Callithrix jacchus: one gene and its partners. The protein of the gene in region 4 interacts with the protein of the main gene of each other region in a pairwise test. Links are inferred from orthologs where the notes say so. Each region holds a gene or a part of one and is shown on either strand. Other genes may lie near its edges. The genes, in order: FGFR4, ARNT, PDGFRA and MAP2K3.

Region 1 (5,079 bases), on a different chromosome or scaffold from region 4:
TCACTGCAACCTCTGCCTCCTGGGTTTAAGTGATTCTCCTGCCTCAGCCTCCAGAGTAGCTGGGATTACAGGTGACCACCACCACGCCTGGCTAATTTTTTTGTTTTTTTGAGACAGTCTCGCTCTGTCACCAGGTTGGAGTGCAGTGGCGTGATCTTGGGTCTCTACAACTTCTGCCTTCCAGGCTCAAATGATTCTACTGCATCAACCTCCCGAGTAGCTGAAACTACAGGTGTGTGCCACCATGCCCAGCTAATTTTTGTATATTTAGTAGAGACAGGATTTCATCATGTTGGCCAGGATGGTCTTGATCTCTTGACCTCATGATCCATCTGCCTCAGCCTCCCAAAGTGCTGGGATTACAGGCGTGAGCCACTGTGCCTGGCCTAAAATTTTTCTGTTTCTAGTAGAGATGTGCTGGTCTCAAACTCCTGACTTCGTGATCCGCCCGCCTCAGCCTCCAAAAATGCTGGAATTACAAAGACATGAGCCATTGCGTCTGGCCTATTTTTATTTATTTATTTTTAGAAAGGGTCTCACTCTGTTGCCCAGGGTGGAATACTGTGACTTGATCATGGCTCATTGCAACCTCCAACTCCTGGATTCAAAGGATCCTCCTGCCTCAGCCTTCCTAGCAGCTGGGACTAAAGGTACATACCGCTACACTCAGCTAATTTTCTTACTCTTTTTGTAGAGATGGAGTCTCACCATATTGCCCAGGCTACCTCAAACTCCTGGATTCAAGCAATCCTCCTCCTACCTTGGCCTCCCAAAGGGCTGACATTACAGGTGTGAGTCACTGCACCCAGCCACACTCACCTTTGAGCATCTTGACGGCCACAGTGCTGGCTTGGTCAGGTTGGGCAGGGTCCATGCCAAAGGCCTCTGCACATATTACCTGCCCAAAGCAGCCCTCGCCCAGGGGCTTCCCAAGCACCAGCCTGGAGATGGAGAGAGTGCATGCCTCAGACCTCCGAATCACTCCTGATAAGGGTGGGTTGCAACCCAGCGCCCGTGTCCCCGCCCCCACACAGCTCAGCGCACCTGTCCCGGGGGAACTCCCATAGTGGGTCGAGAGGTAGGTCTAGACTCACGGGGCCGGCGAGCAAGGCAGGGCCGTTGGAGGAGAGACGTACACCTCGCACCAGGGATAAGCTTGACTTGCCGGAGGAGCCTGACTCCAGGGAGAACTGCAAAGTGGGAGACTTGGTTCTGCCTGCTAGAGTCAGGCTGCAACACACAAGGTGGGGGATGCGCCCAATACCTGTCGGGCCAGAGGGAAGCGGGACAACTTCTGCACAGTGGCAGGCTGGCGGGGGTGCCGGCCGTGGAGTGCCTGCCCTCGATACAGCCCAGCTAGCAGCAGGAGTACAGCCAAGGCCAGGGAGCCCGACACGTACAGGATGATGTCCGTATACCTGGCCTCAGGCACTGCTGCAGTCCACGTGAGGTCCTCCTCTGCCCTCGCACATGAATACACACAGACAGACAAACGGGTCAGTGGCGAGACTGGCCGTCCCATGCGCCCCACTCAGGCCTTCCCAGCTCCCAACATGCATGGGGACACAAACGGAGGAAGGTGTAGTTATGCCCAGTCCCAGGTTCCCATACCTCAGCAGAGGGTCACATGGACAGCCACATGTAGAGAGGGGGTGTCATACAGCTCAAAAACACAAATCCACACACTGCCTCACAGGCCAGACCCCACAGACCAATAGAGACTGACCACCGGACAGGCCACGTCCCCCATGGCTGGACCAGAGGGGCACCTTGCAGCATCTCCTGGTCCCTCAGGTGCTCACCTGGCAGCACCGTGAGCCAGGCCGACTGGTAGGAGAGGCCGATGGAATTGCCTGCGAGGCAGGTGTACTCGCCTGCGTCCTCGGCTGACACGTTCCGCAGGTACAGGACCTCCACCTCTGAGCTATTGATGTCTGCAGTCTGGGGAGGGGGACATATTCTGGGGTCACAGCAGGGCCTGGGGCCACACAGAGGCCAAGATGGAAGCTGGGGACCCCCCAACCCCAGGTGGGAGAAGAGTGGGACCCAGGCTGTAGCAGGGACTGTACCTTTAGAACTTGCACATAGGGGAAGCCGTCGGCCCCAAAGCTGCTGCCATTGATGACAATGTGCTTCAGCCACTGGATGTGGGGCTGGGCATCACTGTATACCTTGCACAGCAGCTCCACATCACTGCCTACCACGGCTGTGGTGTTAGCCGGGAGCCCAGCCTGCAGGATGGGCCGGTGTGGGGACCGCTCTGGGGACCAGGCGAGGTGGTCAGCCCTGATTACCAGCACCCATAGAAGCACCCTGTTTGTCTCCCTCCAGCCTTCCTCAAGTTCAAGGGAAGGACCTTTCTGCAGCTTATTGTCCTGATTACCCTGCTTAAACCTTCCCTGGCTCCCCATTGCTTCGGGTCAAGGATGACATCTCAGCCTAGCATTCAAAACCCTCCACCACCTGGCTTTCCACATAAATGCCACGCCCTAGGTATATGCTGGACTGCAAGTGCAGGGCGTTCGTTATACTTAGGCCCTCAGCTCAGGCTGCGCCCTCAGCCTGGATGTCCTTCTTGCTTTTCCTCTTAGCAGACCCCTGCTCATCCAGTGCCACACTAACTCCTGTGCTTTTCCCTGACCCACCTGGTCGCTGAGCTGCTTGACTCATCTGAGTCCATCCTGCCTGCCAAGCTAGGCCCCACCAGAGGGCACAACTGAGCCCAAGACAGTCAGGCCTCCCCAATTCCCTGCCCCATGCTCACCCAGCACATCTAGCAGGTAGCTGTATTGGATGCTGCCCACAGAGTTCTCCACCAGGCAGGTGTATGTGCCGCGGTCCGAGGGCACCACACTCTCCATCACAAGGCTCCAGTGCTGATGGCGCAGCTGCAGACAGAGGGAGTGTGCCCATGGGACCACCAGACCACATCCACCAAGGGGGGCCAGGGGACCAGGAGCCTAGATCCTCATCCTGCCCATAGGGCTTTTCTCAAGCTCTCTAGGCCCCGAGGACATCAGGCCCAGGCCAAGGACTATGGGACAAAGGAGAAGGCTCCCCAAAGTCCTGAGCCTTGGGTCTTTTGAGTTTTAGCTCTCCCTCTCCCTATCTGTGCCACTCTAAGCCAGCCCTTGCCTTCTCTGAGACTCAGTTGCCTCATGATAGCATGGAGCTGACTCAGTAGGGTCTCATCAAGATGATGAGATGCTAAGGCTTATTGATACCATACCAGTCAGTGATTCTTCTTACTTTATAAATGGAGTTGCTGAGGCTGAGAGGTTAAGTCACTTGTCAGAGAGTGGCAGAAGAGGAACTTGAACCAGAGCTCGCCAAGTCCACAGTCTAGGGCTCCTTCTGGGGTCCCACACTCACCCGAATGCCTCCAATGCGATTCTCCCCATGAAAGGCCTGTCCATCCTTAAGCCAGCGGATGGTGGGTGTGGGGTTGCCTGCAGCTGGACAGCGGAACTTGACGGTGTTCCCAGCAGGTACCGCATGCAGTTTCTTCTCCATGCGCTGGGGGTGTGTCCAGTAGGGTGCTGGGGTCGGGGGGAAGGCCCTTAGAATGACTGTGTTCCTACACAGGCCTCTTCTCAGTGACCAGATGAGCAGTGCGGATGCAAGTCCTTGAAGACTTATACTGACCTTGCTGGGGGTAAATATGCCCATTCGAGGAGTCCCTAAGGGATTTGGGGTCCTCATCATCATTGCTGGAGGTCAAGGAGTCTATATCAGGGAGAGAGGGAGGTGTCTGAGGTCCAAGAAGGGCAGGTCTCTCTTCCTAGGCATCCCTTAACTCACTGCTAGAGTCTCTTACCATCTATAACCAAGGTGAGATTCTGCAGGACGATCATGGAGCCTCGTGCCAGGCAGAGGTAGCGGCCAGCATCCTCAGGTAGGAAGCTGGCAATCTCTAGGCGGCCTCTCCAGCCCCGTACACGGCCAGCAGGTGCCAGGCGACTGCCCTCCTTGTACCAGAGGCCACCATGCTCAGCTTGCCCACAGCACAGCTGGACAGGCTGCCCAAGGGCTACTGTCAACTCCTGCTCTTGCTGCTCCAGGCTGGGAGCCAGGCAGGGCTCTGTGGGCAGAGGGCAGAGGTCAGCAGACCCTGCAGCCCCATCCGAGGCAGCCTCCTGCATAGAGAACATGCCGCACATGCAGGGCACAAGCACCTCACAATGCATGCTAGAGGGGCCAGCATCCTTGAAACTCACATTACCACATGCTGCGGATGCCACACCCAGGGCAAATGCCACACTCTTGGGGCATGTCACACACACAGCATTTAGTGCACATGCCACTGCCCAAGACACACATACACACATACACACACGCACACATGGCACATGCCATTGGTGCCACATACAGGGCTCATGCTACACCTCTGGGCATATCACACTCATAATGCATATACCACATGCTGCCTGGGCCTTCTAGGCCACACATCCAGTGCACAGCACACACACACACACACACACAGACACACACACACACGCACACACACACACACACACCCAGGCAAGGAGCTCACCAACTGCTCTGCATCCCAGCTCAGAGCCCTGCGCCCTGCAAGGCCAGTCCTCTCTCGCAGACACAGAGATAGATGGATGCTTGCTGGAAGCCAGGCACTGACTGAGTCTCAGTGATTGGGCCCTGCCCTGCTGCCACCTTCTCAGGGCCTGGGCAAGGATCCTTTCCAGCTTTACTCAGCCCAGCAGCCCCCTCCTGGTGCCCACTCTTCCCACCCCTGCCACCCTCTCCCACCTCAGAAGCCATACCCAGCTCCACTTCCTCAGAGGCCTCCAGGGACAAGGCTGGAGGCACAGGCACACTCAGCAGGAATCCCAACAGGGCCAACAGCAGCTGCATCTCCTTCCCACAGCTCTCAGGGACCCAGGCTGGACTTCCCAACAACTGCCTTCCTAAAACAGGGAGGGAGGGAGGGAAAAGAGCTGCTGCTACACGTGCACCTTTGCGGGTGCTTTTCCTTTATTTTGCAGACGAGGAAACCAAGACAGGAAGTGGTCAGCAGATGTGTCCAAGTCCCGGGCCAGGCTGTGGCAGTGCAGACTGGAA
Region 2 (5,781 bases), on a different chromosome or scaffold from region 4:
GCTGGGATTACAGGCATGAGCCACTGTTTCTTTTGAGTGGACGATTTTTTTCTTTTTGGTGAATTATAGATATAACAAAATGAAAGAAAAATGAAATTTTAACACATGTAAACAATAATATGCAAATTATGTTAAATACCTTTGCAGTGAACTAATAAGAGGATCAATTTAATCTGTGCAGTATATATACAACTTCTAAGAATGTAAAGATGCTCAATAGCATAATGGGATTTTTGTTAAATTTTTAATTAAATTTGTATTAAACAATTTGTGATTGTACATGTAAAGGCAGTATAGTCTAGTGCTAAAACTGTAGTGCTAAAATGGGAGGGTGGGTATAACAAGTTTCTGGTGTCAGACTCCTTTAGTTTGCCTCCCACATTACTTACCTGCTAGATGTCCCTTGCCATTAACCTCTTTGTTTCTGTTTCCTTAACTTTCCTTAACTGCAAAATGGAAATAATAGTAGAACCTACCTCATCATTGTTGTAAGGATTAAATGAATAAATGCATATAAAGCATTTTGGACAGTGCCTAGACCAAATAGGTCAATGCTTCCTATTATCGGGAAACAGAAAATAACCAGACATGGTGGCGCCCCTGTAATTCCAGCTATCTGGGAGGCTGAGGCAGAATCGCTCTATCCCGGAGGTGGTGGTTGCCGTGAGCCGAGATCGCGCCACTGCATTCCTGCCTGGGACAGAGCAAGACTCCATCTAGGGGGAAAAAAATGAAAAAAGAAAATAGATCTGCATAGCCATCATCTTATTGATTACCTGCTAAAACCTCCTCACTGTAATTCCAGCACTTTTGGAGGCTGAGGCGGGAGGATTGCCTGAGGTCAGGAGTTGGAGACTGGTCTGGCCAACATGGTGAAACACCGTCTCTGCTAAAAATACAAAAAAATTAGCTGGGCGTGGTGGCGTGTGCTTGTAATCCCAGCTACTCGGAAGGGTGACTCAGGGGAATTGCTTGAACCAGGTAGGTGGAGGTTGCAGTCACACCACTGCACTACAGCCTGGGCCTCCGCCTCAAAAAACAAAAAGGAAACAAAAAAACTCCTCATTGTGTCCCTATCACTGACCAAAGGAAGTTAGCCACTCTGCAAATACTTTCTTCATCCATTGCCTCCAGTTTTTGCTGTTGCTATCTCCCATACCAAACCGTTAACACCCGGATCCTTTTATATTACAAATTCCATAGCAGGCATTCAAAAATTAGTCACTGCCGGGCACGGTGGCTCACGCCTGTAATCCCAGCACTTTGGGAGACCGAGGCGGGCGGATCACGAGGTCAAGATATCGAAACCATCCTGGCCAACATGGCAAAACCCCGTATCCACTAAAAATACAAAAATTAGCTGGGAGTGGTGTCGCGGGCCTGTAGTCCCAGTTACTGGGGAGGCTGAGGCAGGAGAATTGCTTGAACCCGGGAGGCGGAGGTTGCGGCGAGCCGAGATCGCGCCACTGCACTCCAACCTGGCGCCTGGCGACAGAGTGAGACTCTGTTTCAAAAAAAAAAATAAGTCATTTAACTTTTTTCACCAAGGACAAAAGTCTTTAAAAGGGGGAAAAAACTGGAAAGGATTACAAATCACCATATGAAGTTTAAGTATTAGAGCACCTACAGGGGATTTACAAGATAAATTGTTTGCAGGGCAACCACTCAGACGAATCCACCAGCAAGCGAAGGTTTTTAGTAAAATACCTATTTTTTTTTTTTTTGAAACGGAGTTTCACTCTTGTTGCCCAGGCTGGAATGCTGAGGCACAAACTTGGCTCATTGCAACCTCCGCCTCCCAGGTTCAAGCTTTTCTTCTGCCTCAGCCTCCCAAATAGCTGGGATTACAGGCATGCGCCAATTTTGTATTTTTAATAGAAACGGGGTTTCGTCATATTGGCCAGGCTGGTTTCGAACCCCTGACCTTAGATGATCCACCAGCCTCGGCCTCCCAAAGTACTGGGATTACAGGCGCGAGCCACCTCACCGGGCCTAAAATACCCGTTTTAATTGTATTTCAATGACATCACTTGGTCATTGACCTCTTACGCAAGGAGGGCGGGGTTAGGAAGACAGCTGGACTTCTTCCTCGCCCTCCCTCCCGTGGACTGGCTGGCGCAGTGACTAGCCCTGCCCTTAGTCGATTTGGCATTTTCAGTGGTCAGTTTTTTCCTAGGAGGCTGGCCGTGTGTTGACTCCGCCCACCGTACAGGCGGGGTCTCTCCGCTACAGAGGCTGGGATGGTGGGGGTTGCTGAAGCCGCCATCTTGGATTCCGCGGTAGCGGAGGCAGCGGTTAGGCGCCGCTTCTGGGGAGTGGCCTTTCTCTCCCCCTCCCTCCCGGTTCGGTGGCGGTGGCTCCTCCCACTGGGGGGGGTGGCGCGGCGGCGGTGGCATCCACGGCCATGGCGGCGACTACTGCCAACCCCGGTGAGGAGACGGAGGACTGGGGCGCCTCTAAAGGGGAGGGGCTGAAGGGGCTGACAACTGAGGAGACCCAGGACTGAGGGGACGGAGCTGGAGCTGAAGGCGCCGGGGCGGGGCAGGGCCGCGAGGGGACAGTGGGGGAGCGGTGACCCGGGGAGGGGCCTGACCCTGAGTACTTGGGTAGACTCGAGGTGGAGGGAGCGAGGGAGTTGGGGGCTCCCTGTCCTGAGCTCCGCTGGAGCTGCGGCCGGTGCGGGGCTGGCCCCCCCTCGCTTCTCGGGCGGCGTCTGGTCTGTGATGTGGTCCTCTCTTAACCCTCTGCTCGCTGGAGCCGCTTGATGCCGAAAACTGTAGGCAGAGCGGCTCGGTTTGCTTTAAGGATAGTTTGGATTTAGGGCTAGCTGGACCATATTGCTCTTTAGTTGAGGTGTTGCTTCCAAACATTTAAAGGTTTAGAATTTAATTAAAAAAATTAAAAATGGACATTATTTGATATATACGACGTTTCTTTAGGCTGTTACCTCCCACCCGCAACCCCGGACTATGCTTTGAAACTTAGGTCTTGTTTTAAGAAGGCCTGTAGTGTCTTTGCCTGCTGAGGGCAGGGGTTTGTATAATGGTTGTGGTTCCGGACAGGTCTTTGGTCCACGGCCCCAGGTTTAAATCTTGTTAGGCCCGGGTCGATGCAATCTCCAAACTCTTTCAGAAAAGTTTGATTCCACACCGTTTCTCAGTTTCAAATAATAACCAAATATCAAAAAGATCTCACCTTTCTTGTCTAAGAGATGGAGTAGGCTTTAGTGTAGGTCTAGAGAGATGAGATCTTCAAATTACTAGTCCCAGCCCTCTTTCCTCTATGTTACAGTTATTTCTCCTTAGAAGGTATTTCATTTTAGGGGCCTAGTTCATCTCGCTGACCTTGGTCATTTTTGCAAAATAAAGTCTATCCTTTCCCAGAAACCAGTATATTTGATAGCCTTAAAAAAAAAAAAAAAGCCTTGAGGGGTGTGTGTGTGTGTGTGTGTGTGTGTGTCTGTTGTGGGGTTGGGGGGTGGGCAGAGAATTTCTTGAAAATACAACAGTGGGAGTGATTCCCCCATCCCCACGTTGAAATTTAAGTTAGATTTGTTTTTCATGTTACTGAAAGGTGGTATTATTTTGTGATACCCAAATTTTGATAGGACAGTTGAATCACTGAAATTTCTTTTTCACCATGTTTCTGGGAACAGCTGTTTTAAGAAATGGTTAATTTGTTACATGTCATCTTTTAAAAATCTTTACATTTTTTTTTAAAGGAAAGGGAGGTAAAATTAATGGCAAAAATTACATTGCAGGAAGTGCTGAGTGATGGAATAAAACTGTAAAACAGGAAAAATACCGTTAACGGCAAACCTGACCTTGTAGTAAAATAACCTATCCGTGAACTATGGAGTAAATAAACAAGATTTTTAACTGATCACACATTGCAAAATACTTATATAATCCTAGTTAAATTGCAAAGCATTTCTCATTAAAAAGTGGCCCGGGTAAACAAGTTTTAGTTCTTATGTCAGAAGCTTTTTTCCAGCTGTGTGGGTGGGGTTGCTATATTTTGTTTTGTTTTTTAAACACCAGCAACCAGAATGACAGCCTCTTGACCGTATTTTCGTAAGCTGATCAATATCAGCTTAAATCTCAGCAGAAAGAGAGAGAGAGAGAGAGAGAGAGAGAGAGAGAGTGTGTGTGTGTGTGTGTGTGTGTGTGTGTGTGTCAAGAGCACACAGAATCCTTGTTAATGAAACAGTTTTTTTTTTTCTCTTACTGTGCTTTGGCTGCCTTGCTTCTGCAATTTTTAGATCCTTTCTTTTTTCTTTTCTCCTCTATTCTTTTTGACACAGGGTCTTGCTCCTTGTTCTGTCACGCAGGCGAGAGTGCAGTGGCAAGATCACTGCTCATGGTAGCCTCCACCTCTGGGGCTCAAGTGATCCTCTCACCTCAGTCCTTAACCTCTCACCTGAATAGCTGGCACTGCAGGTGCCTTGCCACTATGCCCACTTAATTTTTAAATTTTTTTTGTAGAGACAGATGTCTTACTATGTTGCCCAGGCTGTTCTTGATCTCCTGGTCTCAAGCAAGACTTGTCTCAGTATGTCAAAGTTGGGAATACAGATGTGAGACACTTTGCCTGGCCAGATTTCTTTTTTGATGTTGAAAAATTCTGTCTCTTCTAACTTATTGATCCCATGTTCAGTTCAAACAAATCAAAAGATGTATTTTCTTTTTTTTTTCTCCCTTTGTACTTTTATATCAAGAGGAAGAGATCATAGATACATTGTGGATTTTTTTTTTTTTTTTTTTAAATAGAGATGGGGTTTCACCCTGTTATCCAGGATGGTCTTGAACTCGACCTCATGATCCACCTGCCTCAGCCTTCCAAAGTGCTGGGATTACAGGTGTGAGCCCTCATGCCCAGCCTACATTGTGGATTTTTTCAGCAGTCTGTTGCATTTTGGGAAATGAGATTAATGAATGGAGGGACATTATGTGGAAATGTACTGTGCTCAGTGAAAAGAAAGTAAATGGTTTTCAGGTCAGAATTCTTTGCTACATTGTCATACCTTATTTCCTTAGAGCCGTTTTAAGGACCAGGGACATCATGAGTTTTTTCTACTTCGTATTTTTGCTGGAGTACTAATTTTTTTTTTTTTTAAACAATTTGTTTTTTTTAAACAAATTATTGTTAGTTTTGGCTAGAAGTTTTTTTTAGGACAGAGTTTTGCCCTTGTTGCCCAGGCTGGAGTGCAATGGTGCGATCTCGGCTCACTGCAACCTCTTCCTCCTGGGTTCAAGCGATTCTGCCTCAGCCTCCTGAGTAGCTGGGATTATAGGCATGTGCCACCACACCTGGCTAATTTTGTATTTTTAGTAGAGGTGGAGTTTCTCCATGTTGGCAAGGCTGGTCTCGAACTCCTGACTTCAGGTGATCCTCCACCTTGGCCTCCCAAAGCGCTGGGATTAAAGATGTGAGCCGCTGCTCCTGGCCAAGATGATTTAAAAAAATATTTCACTCTTCTCTTGAAGCTTCATTTAAGTTAATCCTTTTTAAAAATATATGTATTTTTATTTTTGAGACAGGGTCTCCCAGACTGTAGTGCAGTGGTGTAATCATGCTCACTGCAGCCTTGAACTCCAGAGCTCAAGTGATTTTCCTGCCTCAGCTTCCTGAGTATCTGGGTCTATAGACACACATCACCTCACCTGGATACATTTTTTAACTTTTTGTAGAGATGGGATCTTGCTATGTTACCCAGGCTGGTCTTGAACTCCTGGCCTCAAGCAATCTTCCCACCTCAGCCTCCTAAACTGCTGGGATTAT
Region 3 (4,083 bases), on a different chromosome or scaffold from region 4:
AACAGAGATTCTGGCTTCGCCCAGACTTCATACTTCAGAATCTCAGGGATGAAAACCCAGCATCTAGCGATTCTGGCTGCCGCTCACATTCAAGAACTGAGGATCCAGGCTAATGCATATGCAGCCTCTACTAAACAATACCTTTATGGTCTCGAGTTTCAAACTCTTTCTTTTTTGGGTCAAGGGTGGAAGAAGGAGGCTGATGTCTAGGCATCATTCTGACCCTTTTCAGGTTCACAGATTCAAAAAATATATAGACTGGGATTCGCTGAAGCTTTCACCAGGCATGAAGAAGAAGAAGAAGAAAAAGGCCTCTGCAAATCCAGTCTTTTTGCTGATCATTATATTTTCCATTGGGTAATATACATGAGAAATCATGTTCAGCACAGGTTTATGGCTCTACATGGAGAACTTTTAGGACTTAAGAGTTTTGTTTGTTTCTAATCCCATTATTTCAGAGGGCAGTTAATTGTTTTTAGTACCATGGACGGGGGAACCTATTCAGTACAGTTAAAAACTCTGACTTCCTGGACAACACTACTTTTACTTTGTTCTCTATGCTCAGCTAAATTTAATTCACTAAAGCTATTACCGTACTTTACAGAGAAACATGTTATTTAATATAAATGTCAAAAACTGTCAAACTTGTCACCTACTTAGTAAGGATTTTTTAAAATTGTGCTTTCTCTGGAGGGAAATCATGTTACATATTACACATTTAGCATTACTGATAACAGTAGTATTATTATAAATGTAGATTACAATACGAAAATGAGTTGTCAGCCTTCTAAATGACCCAAATCTATGAAACAAGGTTGGTTAATTATTATTCTTGATCTCTTTTAACGCTAGAAAAAAAAAAATAGTAAAATATATAGTACCAGTACCTTTTAGGGTTCAAAAGTGGTTTTTCATGCACTTCACAAAAAAGTTCAACAGCAGCTGATATCAGGTTTCAAGAGGGAAGTACATGGATGGATTGAGTGGTCTCGTCAGAAGTCCAAAGAAGACAGTTAATACAATCTACTAACACAGCCTTGGTTAGAGTTATTTACATAATTACAATGCTGAAGTTTTGTCGCTGTATAAATTGTGTCCACTGGACTCTCACCAATGCCCTTGAAATACAAAGTTCACCTTCTGTGGCCTATTATTCCCTTGTTCATCTATCTCCAAATTTCACACACCACTGAGATGCTACTGAGGCATTACAAGAGGCAATGCTGGAAAACGTTCATTTCAAAATATCCCATTCGTTCATATGTAGAAGGCTCCCCGAGGCCCTTGGCTGGGAACTTCTCTTTAAACATCAACCAAGTCCTCCTCTCAACCTCTGCATTGCAATAAAGTGGTTTTCTGAATGGGATCCAGAGGTGGCCCCAGAAGTGAAAGGAACCCCTCGAGTTGTCAGTTACAGGAAGCTGTCTTCCACCAGGTCTGAAGAGTCTATGCCGATGTCGTCCATCATGTCGATGTCTTCGATGGTCTCATCCTCTCTCTTGATGAAGGTCGAACTGCTGGAACCTGTCTCAATGGCACTCTCTTCAGAGGTCTGTGAGCTGGAGGAGGGAGAGAAGAGAAAAGGTTACAAAGCTTCTCCTGCACAGAACTAGAACTAGAGTGTGTCCCCCATCCCCAGAGACAAAGGAAAGCCTTCCGCATTCAAAATTGGGCTGCAGAGTATGGCAAGATTCTGCCCTGGCCTGACATGCTGTGCTAGGCCACATGGAAAACCAAGGTCCACCTGTCATTTTTACACTTCAGCTTTCCTGCTTTTCTGCCGGGTCTTTCATCGAAGTTGCTGAGCAGCTGCAACAATGTCTACCTTCCCTACTCAGTCCTAGTGGAAGAGAAAATAAGCAATGCCTGATCCAAAGGCCCAGGAAGGCAGAGCAGGGGGGTGAAGTCAGCTGCAAGTTGCAGCCAGGCCTGTCAGGTTCTCTCCCGGAAGCCTCCTGAGATCCAAACTGTGTTCTTAGGATCTCCTGCCACTCACCTGGAATGGCCTCTTTCCCTCTCTCTTGACAGCCAGTGCCCCCCACATCTTGAAGGCCTCCTTATGTACCACAGCAGTGGTTGAAAGGGGACTTCTGGCGTCAAAAAGTCTTCGGTCTGGAATGGTCCCATCACTTACTAGCTGCGTGATGTCACTTACTTAACTTCAACTGAGAAAGTTCAATTCCTGGTGTATCAAATTCTTCAGCTCAGCCTGCTGTCGCCCTAGAAAACTTCTAGGCACCTGTCTCATGTTATTTATTTCAATGTGACTTTCTAACTTTACTTAGAAGCAGAGCCCTTTTACAACCGAAATAGTGCTGCAGTGAACATACACATGCATGTATCTTTATAATAGAATTATTTATATTCCTTTGGATATATACCCGGTAATGGGATTAAAGGGTCAAACAGCATTTCTGCCTCTAGGTCTTCGACGAATCGCCACACTGTCTTCCACAACGGTTGAACTGATTTACACTCCAACCAACGTTGTAAAGCGTTTTTCTCCACAACCTCACCAGCATCTGCTGTTTTTTGACTTTTAAATAACAGCCACTCTGACGGGTGGGATATGGTATCTCAGATCTCGTCCTTCTTTATTGACGCATAGCAGTCCGTGGTGTATAAGTACCACATTTTCTTTATGCAGTCTACTGTCAATGGGCGTTTGGGTTGATGCCATGTCTCTGTGATTGTGAATAGTGCTGCACTGAGCATATGTATGCATGTTTTTGTGGTAGAACGATTTCTATTTCTCTGGTTATATACTCAATAATGGGATTGCTGGGTGGAATGGTAATTCTGCTTTAAGTTCTTTGAGAAATCACCACACTGCTTTCCACAGTAGCTGAACTAATTTGCACTCCAATGAGCAGTGCCTAAGCGTTCCCTGTTCTCCACAACCTCATCAGCACCTGTTATTTTTTGACTTTTTAATAATAACCATTCTGACTGCTGTGAGATGGTATCTCATCATGGTTCTGATTTGATCTAATGATCAATGATGTTGACCGTTTTTTCATGTTTGTTGGCTGCACAGATGTCTTCTTTTGAAAAGTGTCTGCTCATGTCCTCTGCTCACTTTTTAATGGAGTATGATAATATTTGTGAGATAATTTGAATTTTAACTGGCTATCTGATGCCTTAACAATCTATTGTCCCTGTTTTGGGTGAGATGATGGCATGGTAGTTATTTTTAACAACTTTTTAAATAATGTTATTAATCTTTAAAATGGAGCTCTTATCTTTAAGAGACACACACTGGAATACTTATGGGCAAAATGATACGGTGCCTAGGATTTGCTTCCAAACAATCCAGAGGAGGCTGAGGAGAGACAGACTGGCCATGCCTGCATCCAGGCTGGCAGACTGCATACTTACTGAACCTGGGTGACGGATACCAAACAGCTCACTATTCTATGTGAATTGTACACATGTTAGAAACTTTCCATAATACAACATTTAAAAGAAAGCAGAAACAAATCAGCCAGGGAGCAGTTGGCCACCACCCCCAGAGATTCCAATTTGTTGTTTTGGGTGACACTTGTATATCAGCAGTTTTTAAATCTCTGCAGGTGATTCCAGTTCACAGGTAAGGTATAGCATCAAAGGACCCGGTCCTGCCTCTCTCCACTTTTTCTCTTTTTTTTTTTTTGAGACGGAGTTTCACTGTTGTTACCCAGACTGGAGTGCAGTGGCACAATCTCGGCTCACCGCAACCTCCACCTCCTGGGTTCAAGCAATTCTCCTGCCTCAGCCTCCCGAGTAGCTGGGATTACAGGCTGCACCACCATGCCCAGCTAATTTTTGTATTTTTAGTAGAGACGGGGTTTCACCATGTTGACCAGGATGGTCTCGATCTCTTGACCTCATGATCCACCCGCCTTGGCCTCCCAAAGTGCTGGGATTATAGGCATGAGCCTCCACGCCCAGCCGTCCACTTTTTCTCTAGTTCAATGACTATTTAAGACAGGAGAGGCTCATAGGATCGCAATAATCACAGCTCTGTATCAATTTGGTCAATTACCTAAGAACTTAGCTCAAAGATTTTCCACCAGGGAAGCATGTCTCCCTCCCCACAACTCA
Region 4 (5,694 bases):
ATGTCACATCGCAAAAGGGATGGAGCTGGGGCATGCGCTCAGGCAGTTAGGCTCTGGAGACTGAGGTCTCACAGCCCCTCCACATAACCACCTTCCAGGAACTCAGGCCGGGTCCCACCCCAGCCTACCCTGCACCACCTCTGCTGCTCACCCCCCCGAGTCCCAGCTGCACAGCTGAACCTGAGGAGTCCCCTGGGCCAAAGGCAGTAAACAGCCACTGCCACCTGCTCCTGCTCCGTGAGCAAGAGGAAGCAGAGCCCCTTGCCTAATAGAGGAAGTTCCTGGGTGGGGCACAGAGGGCCTGCCCAGGGGGTCCCAGCCCAGCCCGAGGTCCCGGAAGGGGCCACCTCCAGTGCCCCAGCTCAGGGCTAGGTGCCACCTGCAGGACACGTAACCCCCTCCCCACCCACCAGGCTGGTGGCATCGCCCCTTTAAGCTGTAGGCAGCCGGCTGGCATGCCCAGCGGGTGAGTCAGCACCCAGTGCCCGCTGACTCATGGCCGGAAGCCTCCGTGGTCCCGGCCTTCTCCTCACACAGGCCAACTGAGAACTTTGCTCCCTTTGGGCCCTGGGCCATGGGTTGGCTGACAGAGAGTTTCCTGTGCGTCACAAGAGGGGTGGGGGAAGTCCCCGAGGTGCCACCTCCAGTCTTTCTGACAGCCGAAGGTGGGGGAGGGTGGCCACACCAGGCAGGGCTAGGACATGGCTGTGCTCCGTGAAGCCTCGGTGTTCCCATGGGGCAGTCAGGAGTCCGGAGCCACGGTCCAAGCCATGTGAAAATTAACCATGAAGTGCCTCCACAGGTGGCACTCTTAGGGCAGAAGGGCAGAACCCATGCTCTGAACGACGACAGGACATGTGTGGTACCCTGCAAGGACAAAGGTGGCTTGCACACATGCCCCTGCCCACTGGCCCAAAGATGACCATGTGGGCAAGGAGGCCAGGGGAAGACCAGCAGAGCTCCGGGCCTGAGGGCTGCACACACACAGAAAACTCCCCAGGCCGATGGCACGGAGGACGGAGGACGGGGCCGGGTACCTGCTGCATGGCAGGAAGCTCAAAGGTAAAGCTCCAGTAAGGTCAAGCGCCAGCCACTCCCTGCCGTGTTCAAATTCCTTTGAGAAGGTGGAGAAGGCTCTGTGCTGGGAGGCCCAGTGCCCAGGATGGGGCGGGCATGGGGCGAGGATCTCCACCTATTGGGGCAGGCCGGCCATCCTCCCTCCAAGCTCAGTTCTGCATCTGTCAAATGGGTCAGATTGCAGTGAATATGCCTCAGGCCCAGCGTGAAGCGCTGTGCACAGGAAAGGCAGCACCTCTGCTTCAGTCTGTCCTGGAGGTCTGACATGGCCATGAGGATAGGCCCACTGCACAGGCTGTGAGCAAGGCCAGGGGTGAGGGTGTCCCACCCACTCAGCTCAGGCATCTAGCATGGGAGCGGCACACAGGGGGTCACTGGGAAGACCTCTGTGGAGACACACAGTCCTGGGGGAACCCTAGTACACCTGTCACCTCTGTGTGGCCTCAGGCAAGGCACTTAATGCCTCTGGGCCTCAGTTTCCTTATCTGTAAATGGGGCTGTGAGGAATGAATGAGGAAATGCATGGCACATGGAAAAAAAGAAGGAGCTCACAGGGATTTTGGTGAGGGGCACTGTGGCTCTGCCACCACATACTTCTCCAGACCCCGAAGAGGCTATAGAGTGCCTGGGCCTGAGGGAGGTCCCTGACCCTCCATTCAGCCCACCCAACCTCATCTGGGACCTGGGTTCACATCTAGAAGTTCATCCTGGCCTTCTCACAGCGCTCCCACCACCTCTGTGACCCCTCTCCCTGCACAACTCTGCAACTGGAGCTTTTATTTTGCTGAGGCATTCCCTGCCTGGAGAGCTAAAAAAGCCTCCAAAACAAACAGTGCTTCTTACCCCTCCCCGAGCTCTCCAGAGTGGAGAAGTGTCTGATTTCCCGGTTCCCAAGCTCCACGAGGTCTGTGCAGTGAAGTCCCTCTTCAGATGCCTCCCCCGGCGAGTGCCTCCTGAGTTACTCACAGTGGTTGGGCAGTTGTCAGGGATCCAGCCTCCCACTTATGTAAGGCATAATTATTCTGCCCACCCGGCTCCAGCCACCACAGCAGCCAGCAGCAGGGGCCAGGAAGAGCCCATGCCCTCCCCAGACCCCCATAGGGCTTCCACTGGCATGCACCCTCCAGGGCAGGAGAGTGGTTGACCCCTGATGAGGGGGTGCCCGCTGCTACCTGCCTCCTGCTCACTCTGCAGTGGAGTCCCAGCAGCGGGGGCCTTTCCAGCAAGAATGAAAGCAACAGCGGGATGCATGCAGCCGGTGTCCCCTGGTGAGCACTGGCCCTCGCCAGGCTCTCTTTGAGTGAAAGAACGCCTCAGAGCTCATTAGCATTCACCACCCCACACCCCACTCCCGCGTCCACAGAAGCAGGTGTGATGACTTCCAATTTACAGAAAAGAAAACTGAGACCCAGAGACACCAGGGAGCTTGCTGGGGTGAGGCAGCCCATTCATTACAGCTATGTCCGGTTTGGAAATCTCTCACAACACAGCCTGCTGAAACTCCGACGCACCAAAAACATCCTCTCCTCTTCCTGAAAAAAAAAAATTCCCCTTCTGCCCTCCAAGTCTCGTCCTTCCCCCCTCCGCATGACAAATCCTGCTGCCGCCACCTCACAAAAATTTCCAGGAAAGCCAGCTACTTGGAGAAGAGCAAATCCCTTGCACAGCCAGCACCCTGGCCTGGCGGCTGGCCCAGATCCCAGGCAGCTGGGACGGGAACCAGATGGGGTGAGCGCCCCAAGTGCAGGGAGAAGCTTGCAACTCAGAGAGGAGTCGGTACAGAGGGGGCTGCACCTTACGGAGGGGTGAGAGGACAAGGGAGGTTCCTGGGGACACAGGACTGCAGGACGGGGTGGAGGTCAGCCAGGGAAGGGGTAACATAGGGCCTAAAGGAGAGGGAGAGTTGGGGGAGAGGAGGTCAGGCGGTTCTGAGCTGGGGTATAGCCAGAGCACCCACATAGGGGCTACAGTGAGGCCCGCAACAACAGGAGCACTCTGGGGCCCAGATGGAGACGCAAGCGATATCCCAGCCTAGATACAGCCCTGGGTCCCGAAACTGGACGTGGGACTGGGTGCTGACCAAGGATCCAGGTGGGGGCCAGTGTGAATCTCACCCGGGTCCCGCTGACGGAGAAGATTGGGAGAGTTCCTGTCTAGGCTGCAGCCATAAGGCCCAAATGAGGTCAGAGTGGGGCTCCTGACTTGGATGGGTGGGAACAAAGTCCTCGCCTGGGTTCAGCCTGGGTGATCTCGAGCCTGAGTGCAGTCCCAAGGCCTAACCTGGGGATCCAGGTGAGGTCCCAGGCTGGGGCCGGTCCTGGGAACCCAAACAGGAAGGGGTTCCGGGACAGGGCGCCGCTGCTAGGTCAAGGACAGGATAGGGTGGGACCACAGAACGGTCAGAGTTTGCAGCCCGACCCCAGACTGGGCCCGGGGTCAGGACAAGGTTCCGGCGGGGAGCGCCTACCTTTGGACTGGGGCATGCTGGCGGGCTGGCTCGAGGCTGGCGACTCCATGCTGCAGACCGGTCCGGGACGGCGGCGGGGACTAATCTAGAGGACAGCGGGCTCCACCGGGGCCGAGCACGCTCATGGCTGCGGGCAGATAGCCCGGGTCAGGCGGAGGAGCAGAGGCACGCGGCAGCGACTGCAGCGGGACGCGTCCGCAACTGGCGGCGCCAGAGCCAGACTGGGCAGCGCCCGGTGTACCCCGGCCGAACAGCGCTAACTTAGGCCCCACCCCTGCGTGCCGATTGGCCCTCCCGTTTCCAAGGCCTGTACCCCGCCTATCAGACGCCGGCTGTCCCTGCCTATCAAACATACGCCCAACCACCCCGTGGGCCCAAGATCCTGGTCCCTCTCGCTCTCTGTCAAGTCCGCCCGCCGCCCGAAAAAACAAGGCCCGGCCAGACTCCGCCCTCCTGATCTAAAGCCTCGCCCCTCGCGCTGCCCGTCAACACGCAAGCCCCGCCCACTCCCGGGACCCACTGAGCCCGCAACTCCCTGCTGGCGCCAGACCCCCCCCAGCACCCCCAGACCCCGCCCAGCACCTCCAGACCCGCAGCCCCGGCGGGTGCGCTGCGAGGGCGCGTTCTCCTGGGTGCTTGGTCTGGAAAAACCCCGAGATCCCCAAAGGTGGTGCGGCTGGGCCTGGCGAGGAGGCCGGGGGTTAAAAGCAAGCTGCTGGGTTGAGACCGGGTTTCAGATACGAGTCGGCAACTTTGCAGCGGGACTGGCCTCGGGCAGGTCGTGACACCTGAGCCTCAGTCTAAGCCTCTGTGAGCGGGCGGCGGTGACAGCCACCTCCCGGCGCTGCTCGCTAACACGCACGGAGAGCCCCGCGCCAACAAACGTTCACTTGAGCCCGGGCACCAGGCGCCAGTCCAGGGCGTGGAGTCGGTGGTGAGCTCAGCGATGCCCGGTGACAAGGCAGCACGAGGAGCTTTCGTGGCTGGTTACTGTTGCCCCTGTTCTACACAGGGGGAAACTGTGTCTCAGAAGGAGTGAGGTGGCATGCGGTGCATTTTATCCCGCGAGCCCCAGGCCCCATCCCGGCTCTCTCCTGGGCCTTGGTTCTCTCCACTCCTGCTAAGACCTCAGTCTGCTCATCTGCATAATGGGTGGATGGGCCAGTCCTCCCTCTGCTCCCACACAGAACCTGGGGGAATTTCAGGAACCGCTGACCAATCTGGTGCTGGGATCAGGTGACTCTGGATGTAAATCCAGGGCTAGTGAGGGCAGAATGTGCCAGGCAAAGGGCAATGGGTCAGCCCCTGGCCTCCAGGCAGACATGAGTGTGTACCCTGTCAGGGACCTCACGTGAGGGAAGCAGATTCCACCACCTGCCAGAACGCTTGAGGCCAGGGCTGACCTCTGCTTGCCCAGGTGTAAAGTGGGGGTGATGCAGGCCCCGTGCACACAGCGGCGGGGAGGGCCACGTGAGATAAGAGGGAAGCCTTGGAGTCATCACCTTTCTCTTCCTGCATCTCCTGTTTACCCTTCCCAGGTCATGGGGTGGAAATCATGAGCCTGGGGCTCAGACCCGTACAAACTCCAACACCAGCTCCCCCACTTACTAGCTGGGTGACCTTGGAGAAGTCACTGAGAAGCTCTGTCCCTCAGTTTATCTATCCCATGGGGACAGTAAGGACTCTGAAAGCATTTCATGAGTTCAGGAGTGGAAATACCTGGCCTAGGGCCTGGCACTCACTAGGTGCCCACGAAATGTGAGTTTGTGAATACTGTGGGCTTCCTCCATCCTGGCCATATCATCCCTGGTGACCTGCGCTTACCCATCTGTAAAATGGGCATCCAGCAGCCATTTCCTTTCTACCAGAATTGCAAGCCTGGTCCAGCGAGTTTTCCGGGTTCAAGCCCCAGCCAACGGCCTTGACTCCTGCTCCCCCACACTCCGCCTTGTGCACTGTGCTCCTTGGGATGTTCAAGAATCTTAGTGTGCCCCTCAAATGTGCCAGGGATGGTTCTGCTGCAGGGGCTTCACCCTTGCTGCTACTGCCCAGAACATTCCTCCACTCAAGCCTCCTGGGGCTGGTTCCCTCTCATCCCTCAGACTGCCTCCTAAATGAATGCCCCTAAGAGGCCTTCTCATCATGGTCCT

The links.
Region 1: the proteins of MAP2K3 (region 4) and FGFR4 come close enough for resonance energy transfer, tested with the Homo sapiens proteins (2 studies listed by BioGRID). The link is inferred for Callithrix jacchus from reciprocal best matches to the Homo sapiens genes MAP2K3 and FGFR4.
Region 2: the proteins of MAP2K3 (region 4) and ARNT come close enough for resonance energy transfer, tested with the Homo sapiens proteins (2 studies listed by BioGRID). The link is inferred for Callithrix jacchus from reciprocal best matches to the Homo sapiens genes MAP2K3 and ARNT.
Region 3: the proteins of MAP2K3 (region 4) and PDGFRA come close enough for resonance energy transfer, tested with the Homo sapiens proteins (2 studies listed by BioGRID). The link is inferred for Callithrix jacchus from reciprocal best matches to the Homo sapiens genes MAP2K3 and PDGFRA.

The regions. Positions count from the first base shown.
Region 1 is NC_133503.1:69,050,646-69,055,724, forward strand, and holds part of FGFR4 (fibroblast growth factor receptor 4), read right to left. Parts: intron 4,926-5,079; 5' UTR 4,873-4,925; coding exon 4,782-4,872; intron 4,082-4,781; coding exon 3,818-4,081; intron 3,727-3,817; coding exon 3,646-3,726; intron 3,540-3,645; coding exon 3,373-3,539; intron 2,889-3,372; coding exon 2,765-2,888; intron 2,261-2,764; coding exon 2,070-2,260; intron 1,942-2,069; coding exon 1,803-1,941; intron 1,459-1,802; coding exon 1,265-1,458; intron 1,191-1,264; coding exon 1,045-1,190; intron 942-1,044; coding exon 820-941; intron 1-819. UniProt on the Homo sapiens protein: Tyrosine-protein kinase that acts as a cell-surface receptor for fibroblast growth factors and plays a role in the regulation of cell proliferation, differentiation and migration, and in regulation of lipid metabolism, bile acid biosynthesis, glucose uptake, vitamin D metabolism and phosphate homeostasis.
Region 2 is NC_133519.1:10,773,660-10,779,440, reverse strand, and holds the start of ARNT (aryl hydrocarbon receptor nuclear translocator), read left to right. Parts: upstream 1-2,269; 5' UTR 2,270-2,404; coding exon 2,405-2,429; intron 2,430-2,593; exon of another isoform or gene 2,594-2,697; intron 2,698-5,781. UniProt on the Homo sapiens protein: Required for activity of the AHR. Upon ligand binding, AHR translocates into the nucleus, where it heterodimerizes with ARNT and induces transcription by binding to xenobiotic response elements (XRE).
Region 3 is NC_133504.1:142,462,195-142,466,277, forward strand, and holds the end of PDGFRA (platelet-derived growth factor receptor alpha precursor), read right to left. Parts: intron 1,560-4,083; coding exon 1,412-1,559; 3' UTR 1,149-1,411; downstream 1-1,148. UniProt on the Homo sapiens protein: Tyrosine-protein kinase that acts as a cell-surface receptor for PDGFA, PDGFB and PDGFC and plays an essential role in the regulation of embryonic development, cell proliferation, survival and chemotaxis.
Region 4 is NC_133506.1:64,702,752-64,708,445, forward strand, and holds the start of MAP2K3 (dual specificity mitogen-activated protein kinase kinase 3), read right to left. Parts: upstream 3,768-5,694; 5' UTR 3,594-3,767; coding exon 3,545-3,593; exon of another isoform or gene 1,921-3,544; intron 1,239-1,920; exon of another isoform or gene 1,038-1,238; intron 1-1,037. UniProt on the Homo sapiens protein: Dual specificity kinase. Is activated by cytokines and environmental stress in vivo. Catalyzes the concomitant phosphorylation of a threonine and a tyrosine residue in the MAP kinase p38.